Linked DNA regions of Lepisosteus oculatus. The protein of the gene in region 1 interacts with the protein of each later gene in a pairwise test. Links are inferred from orthologs where the notes say so. Each region holds a gene or a part of one and is shown in the gene's direction. Other genes may lie near its edges. The genes, in order: fhl3a, slc25a46 and znf512b.

Region 1 (3,754 bases):
CAAGGTGTTTACGATTGTTTGATTTAATTCACTGCTACTATAATTGTTACACAGTGAAAATAACAAGGATGCCAGAATCGTTAACTCTGCCCCAGGCAGACAAAAACAGCTTGACTTTAAAAGGGGGCTAAATAAAATCTAAAAGTGATGTCTTTAATCTGATTTTGGTCACTGTATAAATTCACTTTCAAATAGTTTGTATGAAATGCATTGCATGCCTATTTTCATAACATTTATACTGCCATAATAAAGCGATTAAAATACTTCAAAAGTAAATATAGACAAATATTATTTTGGTGATCTTGCAATACTTTTCAAAACGTTTCTGTTTCAAAATCTACACACACGTTGAAAGTTTTAAAACAAGCTTAGTGTTTCCAGAGTGCCAGAAATGAAAACGAATAACTTGCCACAGCGCTAAATTTAAGATGAACGCTTTAAGATAAAGCTTGTTAAGTCGTTTGCCCAGTGTCTCCGAATAAATACATAACAATTCACCATTGGAGTCTTTATACCAACATCACTTGAGATAACAGACGGTGAGCAATGAAGACCATGCCATCCCGAAGGAGTCGTTCGCTTGTCCCAGGCAAGATACCTGCCTCAAGCCTTACGAAGATGTTTTCCCCTTTAACGTCTCTCGCCTCGGGGTACAATTGCAGCTCGTCTGTATAACGCTCGTGTTACGTTGGCTGCATGTCAAAGGTTTGGGAACAGGGGCGGGCTCTTAAGAGTCAGACTTCCTCTGGAGCGTACGAGCCACATTCTCTCTGATCGTCAGCAAGAGCAGACCGAGCAGAGCTTGCAGCTGGACGGAGTTGCGAGTTCCCGTTTTCATGTCTGTAGACGCAGTAGCCATAGAAAGGAAGAAGGCAACTTTTCCACTCTACCAAGTGCGCACGACAGAGGCTTCTGACGTTGTGCCGGGTAAGTGTCAACGAGTCAGTTTAACAGGTCATTTGTCTACGAATTTTTTAATTAAAAACTATACATGTTTTTTTTTTGTTCGCTTTTACTGCTACTGGGTTACCATTTTCCTGATTGCAAGTAATCGTAATCCGAAACGGAGCTCTTTGCGCATTGGCCAGAGGTAGAAACGTCAACTTTTTTTCGGGAAGAAAAAATGTTAGTACCTTTAGAACACTTCGACTGGAAAAGACAGAATGAAAAACAGTCGATGACAAACGCCAGAATTATGAAGAACGACAACACTAAAAACTTGAAACGGTTTTTTGACTCGAATCATTTTGGCATGAGCATTGCGGGCTGAGTGTTGATCTTGGAGTTGTTTGATTGTGTCGAACTGCCGACATAAAATACATCATTACAAAAATGTCATAGCATCTGCAGTGCTCCTTTTTGTAGAAGCACGACTTGCTGTTGAATGAGGAGGAAAACCAATTTAATGGTCCATTCATTAGACTGGGGCGCAACGCTATCGGCTCACATATCAAACCATTCATTTTCATACGGATGATGATGATGATTATAATTACAAAGGTGTTAGGCGCTGTGAGCTGGTTTTAGCAGTTAACAACTCTCGGTGGTGGAAGAATAGTGTTTAATATAGTAGTACATAATAGTATATAATTGTTTTTCTGTGCCAGGAAAGAAAATACTTCACTTCTTGTCCTGTTAGCATCTATCTATTCGCACGGCCTGTATTTATTTTTAAAACAATAGTTTAAGACTCCAATATAAAACGATGAAAGGTGGATGGAGGGCAGGCAGGGCCTCTTCCGTCAAGGGGACCTTGCGTGGACAACGGAATGAAATGACCCAAGAGCTACAGACCCAGGCTCCGCACAGCAGGTCTGCTTGACTCGCTTCTGCGTTCCGCAGGGTGGCGCTGTGCGGCTGTTGCGCTGTCACGGTGATAAAGTCGCTGATACGGTTTTGCTCTTCTGTTTTACGTGCCAAGCGGGACCTTCGTGGACGCATTTCGTGTAAAATGCTTTTTGCTATTGTACACTGTCACGAATGAAGTGTTTACTAAGGATTGCTTTGTTTTAGTAATAAGTTTGAATTAAAAATTCGGAGAAGGCGCTGTTCATTATAGGAGGTGTACTGTCCCAGATATGCCGACTAAATACCCTCTGGATTTGTGCATAAAATCCCTAATTAATTCAATGGGTTAAGCACTTTTTTTCTCCTCTCCGCTACCTGATCTGTTGTGTAAGGGCGCAACCGACCCGTACTGGGCGCACTGAGTCCCACCTTTGGGATATAAATAGCTAAATATTAATAAGTACTATTATTTGAGAGCCTAGAGATGGACACTGTAGTTTTGCTACAGCTTGGTGCGTTGATTTATTTGTTTTTTTAAACTTCACTGATCTCTTGTAAAAGCTAATGATGAAATAAAGAATAGTTATTAATTAAAGCCTTATTGCAAGATGTGTTTCGAGTTTATGTTTGATGAGATTAAGAATGGATGAAAATTTAGAGACATTATTTGATAGCACTAAGAAGTCCATAAAAATGTTATTTTATAAAATAATCTCCAACAGTGAATAAAATCTCAATACCTGCAGTTTATATTAAACCGAGAGATTTTACTTTAAAGCATGTCAAAAGGGAGAGTAATTTAGTTTCAATTGCACTTCTTACAAACGTAAAATGTGTCTGAATGTTGTTGGTCTTCTGTGATGTGTAGAAAGAAATATTGCTTTTTCTTGGCTGAATTTTGTTTTATTTTTTCCTTTAATGCTAATTAGACTCCAGGGCTGAAAAGCAGACAGAGTTTGAACTGACTGAGGGGCCAGTGCAGGAAAAAGAGGTTATATCTGTCATGATTAAGCCATTCTCCAACTGGTGAGGATGGAATTTGCGCTTTCCTCTTTTAAACCCTGAAGAATAGCCTTTTTTTCTTTGGAAGTGGTACATCCTGCACAGCATAACAGCAGCTACACTTTAACCTCTGTGACCTAAGTAATCACAAACATCTTCCTTTTTTAAACAAGGAAACAGGTAGAAAGAAAGAAACGGTATTGTGCATCTTAGACCAAGTAAAGAGCAGAGGACTGTCACATACAGATAACGTTTAGTGTAACGAACATGAAACCCATTTAGATCTCACCAACTGTACATATGGAGCACGACAATTTCAGAATGACTTCAGGGTGTAGCATTGCCTGCCTGCTGATTTCTGTTGCAGAAAATGGAAAGTTTGAGTCTGATGTCTAATGTGCAAGCACTGGAAGTTTAGTCTCATTTGGTACAGAGTTAATGCTGATGGTGATCACGTAACAATTTGAGTTTCACCAGATGTGTAAAAGTATGTATTAACCTTCAGTTGTTGATCTGATTCATCCATTGTACTTGTCCGCAAAGCTAGAAGAACATAAGTCCAGTGGCTATATTGTACACTTCTCAATAATTATGGCTACAGTCCCTTAATGAAATGCTTCTCTGTTAAGATGGGTGCAAGTGACTCTGTGTTTCTGCATTCATGTGAATTTCATCGTGGTGTGTCAGATTTTCTTGTGCTGTACTATAGGAAAGCAATTTTTGAGTACCTATTTGATAATGGAATGCATACATTTGAAACCCAAAATAGAAGTATTTTTAGTTTTTTTTTTCAGCCCACTACAATAGCTCGCATGATTCCATCAAGTCCTGACCACAATCACATATATGAATGCTCTGTAGCTTGGTGAAGAATAGTATCGTACAATGACTGGATGGCAGCCAGAGTTCTGGACATAAGAGATTCTTTCCAATTGGCACGCTGTTTAAGAGCTCAGCAGGTGGC
Region 2 (3,754 bases), on another chromosome or scaffold:
ACTACAGTATCTACATATTTGCAAGTTTTATATGACAAAATTTAGGTTACATTTTTAAAGCAGTCTCTGTCACAGGAAAAGGTTCCTAGTGTGGATGGTAACTGTTGGTGGTTAAAAGAACTGTGGACAAGAAGGATGTGACTTTGTAGACAAAACAGAATAATAAGAACATTTTTAATCTAAATGCTTCCTTACCTGCTAGGGCTAATCTTAGCATTTTGAGATGCTTCCAGTTCTTGAGCCTTTTTAAGCAATCTTCTTTGTAGATCTTCTTGATGGGTTTGGGATATAATCCCAAAGTTGTGAACTACTGGAATTTTGATGATGGGCATCTTCTTTTGCTAGTAGGTTAGATGTTTTATTTCTAAAAGAAGAAACATTGTGTTTACACAAATCATTAAAGTACTAATTAATCTGAGTTTTCAGGAGGTAATGTTTCTGTATAATATTCTTCTAGACAGCTATGTGCTGCGTACCCTACCCATCTTTTTAGATAAACCAAAAACCTTATTTTGAATGAATTTCAGTTTTTGGTTTGCCTTCTCAAGGAAAACGTTTTTATTTTTTAAATACATCCGAAATTACACTCTTACCTATTTTGATTTCTGACCAAAGCTTTCTAATAAAAAAACATTGAGTGCTATAGGGGGAAAAAATCATTTTAATTGTGAAAATGAAGCGTCTTTAGAATTTGTTTCACAAGATCCGATACTTCGAGCAGAAATCGTTTGTTTTGGTGTTGCCATGACTGCAGAGAAAATATTCAATCCAAAACACAAGTCATTACAACGCGGTAGTTTCTTTATCTTTAATCGTCAGAACATTTCATATAAATAGTTTCCAACTTACATAGTGGTGGAAGTTATTTCTTACCCGAAAGGCTGTCGATTAAAATAAATCATTTTCAGGTATGATGTTAGTACTACGATTCCCAGAGCCCTTTGCTTTAGAGGGAGGGGGAAGGAAGTACTTCCGGTTTTAGGGAAGGTTCGACAGTGCTGTTTCCTTGTTTCTTGTTTTGCTGGAAGAGCTTGCACGCTTTTTGCTGTATGTGTAATTTTGTCAACACATTTACAATAGTTTGAGATTAGTGAATAAATCCTTCCACTCTAGAGCTACTGTTCTGCTTTACCCCTGACAATCTTCGTTTGTGTACTCCATGACTTCACGCCGGCCCGAGAGCTTTGATGGCTTAGGTTATAGAGGTAGGGAGGATCCTGTTCATGGAGGGGGATACACGGGAAGGTCATTTAATAACTCATCTAGCGCAGATATGCAGCACTGGGTAACGACACCACCCGATATTCCTGGGAGCCGAAACCTGCACTGGGGAGAACGAACCCCACAATATGAATCAGCTGCATCCACAGTCCCCGGTTCCGAAGAGACTCAGCAGATTTCTACTGGACCATCTGGTGGTAAGGAGACAACAGTGCAGTGTAACAGTCAAGTGCATCTGATCATTATGACCGTTTAGAAGCAGTTTAACGTCCGCAGCAATATTTAATCCTTTCATTTAAAACTGTTCTTTTAAATACATGCATTTTTTCCGTAACCTTACCAACGATTTCAAAATACTTTAAAGGAATAATTTAAGGAAAAATGTATAATTGCTGACTTTATTAAGGCAGCTTTGGGTAGGCCCATTTCTGCCAAGGGAGCAAAAGACAACGTTGAACTAATTGGCTTAAAGAATAAATAGATTTTAAATAAGAGGCAAGACACTGCATGGTTCAAGTTAACGTAATTGGAGGTTTTCAGCATTTGGTGAATAACGAAAGCGTCAGGGGTTTGTCGTAGCATAGGAGCGGGAATAAACTAGCGAACCCTTAGGGATAATTAAGGGGCGTTTCTTTTATGGACGGGGTAAAAATCGAAGCAGGTCGGAAACGCAGTTTAAACAATATATTTGATTTTGTTAAGAGCTGGGAATTTAAAGGTATTCGTACGGATCACTGTAGGTCTGTCTTCGAACGTGGTATTGACCCAGTCTGTCTGTAGAACAGTAATGCTGATCAAGACACGCAACTAATGGTTCCGAAAATGCAAACACATTGGAATGGATTGAGTAAGTCTTTAAATGTACGTTTCGGGATTAAAACTGTTTTATCACTAAACAAAGAGTTCTAGAAGTGCCAAATGAGAAGATAATTGCACATACAATACAACTAAGGAGGACAGTATGCAGTTGATACTGTATAACAAATTTAAACAACAACAATAATAAATTAATTCTCAATAAATCCACCGATACTGCCATCCACTGCGATTTCCAGGACCAGCAGTACCTAGATCTGCCCGGGTCACTCGGCTCCAAAGTTGTTTAGGGAGAAAAGTGAATTAAAAATAAATGCTGAGTGAGAAAATCGATATTGTTGAGAAATCTCAGAAATCCATTTTAAGGATGCTGAGTCAGAAAAGCCTATCCCATCGCTTTATGCACATTTGTGCATATCTTTACACTTTTTATTCTCGATTTTAACCGCTTTTAAGAATGATGAATTGTCATTGAAATAATGTTGCAGTGATGAAAAACAGTAAATCAGTTGCATTAGTTATACAATATAATTATGTGTGGCTGATTATTTTTCTGTTTTTGATACTAAGTGTAGCACTGCAGCTTTGCATATCAAGGGCATTGGGCCTGAATTCACATGTTTGTCTGTCTGCCCAGTGATGGACTGGCGTTCAGTAAAGGGTGTACCCTGCCTTGCACCTGTTGTTTGGCAGGATAGGCTTCAGCTCTCTGAGGACCCTGAGTTGGAAGAAGTGGTTAAAAATGAATGAATAGATGGATACATTAAAAGGGGACTCCTATATCAATGCCTAATACATCACCAACAGTATTTTGGGCATTTGTGTAGGTCACTAGGAGCACAAGTCAGCCCTAGAAAGCACAGGTGATAACTTATGCCTCTAAGTATGGTTACAAATGAGAGGTTACAAAACTGGTGAAAATCAGGATTTGACCGAGCAGTTACGTCAATAAGTGAAATAATTAGTCATAACCCCCAACTTGTAAGTGATTTCTAGCAATATACCCGAGTGGCTGGTATAATTAGAAGCACAGCTTTGGTGAGAGGAGTAATAATCCAGGCACACATGATTAAACAAAAAAGAATTACAATGACAAAACACAAACTATACAGTATTCTCTATATACAGTATACACACACCTGAAGAAGGCTCCATGACTGAAACGTGTTTTGTTTCTTTTTTTTCAGCATGGAATAAACTTGTTCCATTGCAGCCTATGCATGCTGACGCAGCTACCCACCTGAACTACTATGTACAGTATTTACAAACAAGGTGTTTCAGAGGCCTAACATTCTGGTCACCTAGAAAACCCTAGACTGCTGCTAAGCATTAAACTCTTAATGCCTACAGAGGCCACATAAGAGATTAGCTGCCTTCTAATGAAATACAATGCAACCTGCAGTTAAACCTCTCTCTGCACCCCGGATGCCACAAAATAAATGGGAGCCTATATCCCTATCCATTAAAATGAACCCTAAGCACAAAAGACATTTCTAACTGAGGTATGTTTCACTCAGGAAACACAAGTTCCCTAAAAACACACACCAGCGATCTCTCTCTAACAAGGTGCACATATTTACCTCCAGTCAGGTTTAATTTGGATGAACATGAAGTAGGGCTCTCGCCTGGTGCAAGCTTCAAGTCCCATCTCCTCCGGAAATCTGTCTCTCCTCTTCTTCTTCCCTGCTTCCTCTTCTTGAGCTCTTATTGTGATCTT
Region 3 (3,754 bases), on another chromosome or scaffold:
GGTTGTCTAATAGGTGTCTGCTACCCTCTGGTGGCGTCTCGTACTGTTTATTTAATAAGATTTAAAGAAGTGCATGCAACTGTGAAGTGTAAAGATTTAATAAGGAGGCCTACACTGACTTCTGCATTTTTCCATACTTAAGATTTTATACAAATCGTACACTTTAAGCAATAGAATTAATTATACAGCAAAGCTTATGAAAACTTAAACAAAACTCACTGGGGAACAAATCTCTGGGGAAAGAAAACCTCGAAATAAGATACAGAAATAAGAATGCCCAAAGCTAATAACTAATTCATATCTATCATACAATAGAAGCCTAAAATTAGGAATGTTTTGCATCTATTAATAGCTTTCTGATGTTCCCGAAATTCGTTATGCAGTCGGAGAGAGGGGTTATCCGGTTATATTACTGGACTTTGATATTTTAGTATTTTCAAACTGAAGTATATTACTTGGGAAAAGACTAGATAAAACATTTAATAATGACAAAAGATTTCAGACATGTTGCTTATGTTTCTTTTTGAATGTATAAAAGGTTTAATTAATTAAGGTATACCTCTGTATGGCGGAACAGTACATTTTCCTGAAAATACTCCCATTGCTGTAAATATATGTTTGGAAGTTAAGTTACGTTCAGTTTCTCTCATGTGTTAAAAGATAGATGGATTTTTCCTGCTGATTAACATGTTGTACCCTGCTCAAAAACTATTTTTAAAACAGAATTTTGTTTGACTTCTGTTAAACATGTATTCCTACTGCAGCTAGAACTGTAGTCTTTTCCTGCATCTACTGAAAGTCCTGACATAAACGCAGGTGTTCAGATCTGAAGGATCATCTTTTTCCCTTTTTTTGGGTGGGGCTGTGTCGTTCCGTTTTAGGAAACAATTTGCCCCCCCCTGTGCTAAATTTGGCCTGGAGAGAGAAAAAAAATCCACTTAACACCCTTTAAAATGATCATTTTAAGGAAATTAAAAAGGGTTTGTCTCGCATATAATCTGTGTGCCACTACTTTGACTCGGAGCGCAGGATCATTAGATAAAGTCGAATTAAAATGGTTGTCTATTTTATAAAAGATCCAGTTCCCGTATTTAAAGTTAGATTAGAACAAAAGTAGACGTAAGAGGGTGTGGCGGCTCAATACAATACTATGTGTAATGCGTTCAAAAATAAGCATTAGATTGGAGAGAGAGAGAAAAAAAACTCAAAATCAAAACGTTTATTAACGATATTCGGCGACAGACAACCAGGCTGCATACATACAGACTGCCTAACCCTTCTCTGCTGAAGACTGAACTGCAGCACGTCGGTGGAAACGCACCAGCCGGTCAGTTTTGCATTGATTTTATTTTACTGAAAACTGAATTTAATTTGCATGATAAAAAATAATAACGCGAGAGTTTGCAAGTTGCCTTCTCGACTGTAGTTACAACTGTCAAAGGTAGAGTGGATACGCGCATGACCCAACACATTACTGTAATACTGTACACGGCCCCGGAGATTATATCTGTATTACAAAAATAAAATAATCAGAGGTAAGGAGCAGCAGACCGCAGCTAAAACTAGCGCGTTTGCACCTTTTTTTATATTTTCCTTCGTTTTATTTTCTTTTACTCTAGCGAACTGCCATGTAGCTGCCGAAAATTACTGCACTAAACATATTTTTCTCTCTCTTTGCAGCGCAAGGATTTTTTTTTACTCCTCCTTCGTATTATAAAGTCGCCATTTTGCTTCAGTGCCTATAAAAGCTTCTTGTATTTTTTATTTCCTTTATGGGACTGAGCCATTTCGCCAGAATTTTCCGTACCGTTCTTTTTCCACAGACGCCTGAGGTAAACGAAGTACCCCGTGTTTTGCATATTAATGAACCAAAGCGGAAAGTGGCTGGATTGAGGGGGGAAAAAAAACGTTCAGGTTGTGTTTTAATTTGCATTTTTCTTTCCTCCCTGGGAACCACAGCGGGTGTTGCGAGAGTGGCTACTGGCCGTGACGGCAGTCTGCTGGGATCACCTCCCGGGACAGCAGGTGTGATTGCCATGTAACAACCGGGGCGACAGCAAAGTGCACCGCCTGACCCCACGTGGGTGACCCGGTCCACCCGGCCACTAGTGTTGGTGTCGGGTGACTCCCAACACACCAGGTAGGTGTGGCCTACCTGATGCGAAGTGAGTGTGCTGTTGTGGTTTTTTTTGGGGGGGGTGGTTGCTTTAAATATGAATCCCCACAGTCCGGTTTCAGTCGTGCTAAGAACAAGAATGAACGTACAGTAGTTCAACCACAGCAGGTTCGGTGCTAAAGAGAGGTGGGGGAACTGAAACTGTATTCCTCAAGAGGTGGAAAGTTTACGTTTTTGTCATTGATTTCTAACATCTATATTTCTTAAATAGAATAGGAGTTTTCATTAAAATCCCAGATCCCTTAGTTTTCACACAACTTAATTGTTTTTGTGGTTGTCTTTGTTTTCTTAGAGTATATAGGATTGTTGTTACATAAACTTGAGTATTGAACACTGGAAAGATTATGTTTCTTCCTAAATTTTATGAGTAGTCCCAGAGAGTGCTAAGAGGTTCACAGCCCCCAAATATCTTAATCTCATGTAGGCCTTTACAGGGATCTTGTAATCCTGTATTTATTATGCTCTTAGGTCATCAATATATAAACAGATAGTTGTATAGTTTCATTTTCATTGTTTCAGAAGATTCCCCTTATCTTCTGTCTCGGTCTGCATAGAAAGAGAAACATTTTTTCCCAGTTAACATTTGGCACTAGTGTCTGGACCAGAGTGTCGGACTGAAGGCAGGGCTGCTTCAGTATCAGGAAGTACAGACAGGATATGGTAACTGCAAATGCCTCTGGGATAATTGCACACCGATTCACTGATGTAGAGGTCCCTTGTGTAACGCAAAGACACTACTTCACTGTATCTTCTGTCTGCTGCCGTCCTTATGACAGGGAGACCTCATGCATTACTGTATTAAAAGGTCAAAGGCTGGACCTTTATGTGTGTTAGAGATTCTGGGGGTTGCTTGTTCATTTTGTATGCTAATCTGACTCAGTAGTTGTATCTTTAATCTCTAGTTCGTACTTTTTGACCATAAAACTTAAGTTTGCATCAGCAGCTATCACTTGTCTCTGGAGATTAATTATTCATATCTCTTTAATAGTTAAAGCCGGTAAAACAATGTTCTGAGTGACAACCATACCTTTTTATTTGAATAATATACTCTACTAGCTATCTTTATTATACATTTTTTTCACATCATAGAACCAGCAGCTATTTTTAAATAGACATGGGGTGTCTGAGGATTATTGCCTATATCGAAATGTTCCTCTGTTACGTATTAATACAGTGTTTCTGGACAGCTGAACATAGGCAAAAAATTATTTCAACATGAATAATTGACTGGGTTTCATGTAGAAGCTGTATTAAAGGTGGCAGCTTCCTGACAGGTGTTTTGTGGACGGGTTACTGGGGTAGACGTGTGATTGACAGGTAATCTTTGATTTGGTGTTCCAGCTGCAGTCTGCCTGTATTCGAGGCATGGCAGACTCCAGCAGGGGACGGCTAGGCCATGTGCCCTCTGGTGGAATCCAGAGAAGGCTCAGCAAACCGGCAGGCCTGACAGCGACAGCAAAGAAGGTGGGCAGAGAAGACACTAAACTTGGTGAGTGGTCATTGATCCTGTTCTCTTTTGTTGCTACTGGAAGCTTTGTGCTGCACTATTGGTATTCCAGTCAAATGGATAGACTTTTA

What was found.
Region 2: the proteins of fhl3a (region 1) and slc25a46 interact in binary tests that used the Homo sapiens proteins (3 or more experiments, as listed by UniProt). The two-hybrid records come from large-scale screens. The link is inferred for Lepisosteus oculatus from reciprocal best matches to the Homo sapiens genes FHL3 and SLC25A46.
Region 3: the proteins of fhl3a (region 1) and znf512b interact in binary tests that used the Homo sapiens proteins (3 or more experiments, as listed by UniProt). The two-hybrid records come from large-scale screens. The link is inferred for Lepisosteus oculatus from reciprocal best matches to the Homo sapiens genes FHL3 and ZNF512B.

What each region holds. Positions count from the first base shown.
Region 1 is NC_090706.1:12,362,352-12,366,105, forward strand, and holds the start of fhl3a (four and a half LIM domains protein 3), read left to right. Parts: upstream 1-748; 5' UTR 749-836; coding exon 837-927; intron 928-3,754. UniProt on the Homo sapiens protein: Recruited by SOX15 to FOXK1 promoters where it acts as a transcriptional coactivator of FOXK1.
Region 2 is NC_090698.1:29,843,377-29,847,130, forward strand, and holds the start of slc25a46 (mitochondrial outer membrane protein SLC25A46), read left to right. Parts: upstream 1-993; 5' UTR 994-1,159; coding exon 1,160-1,418; intron 1,419-3,754. Other genes in the region: tmem232 (transmembrane protein 232), read right to left, coding at 196-332. UniProt on the Homo sapiens protein: Transmembrane protein of the mitochondrial outer membrane that controls mitochondrial organization.
Region 3 is NC_090711.1:6,043,397-6,047,150, reverse strand, and holds the start of znf512b (zinc finger protein 512B), read left to right. Parts: upstream 1-1,016; 5' UTR 1,017-1,327; intron 1,328-1,374; exon of another isoform or gene 1,375-1,535; intron 1,536-1,680; exon of another isoform or gene 1,681-1,832; intron 1,833-1,959; 5' UTR 1,960-2,140; exon of another isoform or gene 2,141-2,165; intron 2,166-3,517; 5' UTR 3,518-3,541; coding exon 3,542-3,665; intron 3,666-3,754. UniProt on the Homo sapiens protein: Involved in transcriptional regulation by repressing gene expression. Associates with the nucleosome remodeling and histone deacetylase (NuRD) complex, which promotes transcriptional repression by histone deacetylation and nucleosome remodeling.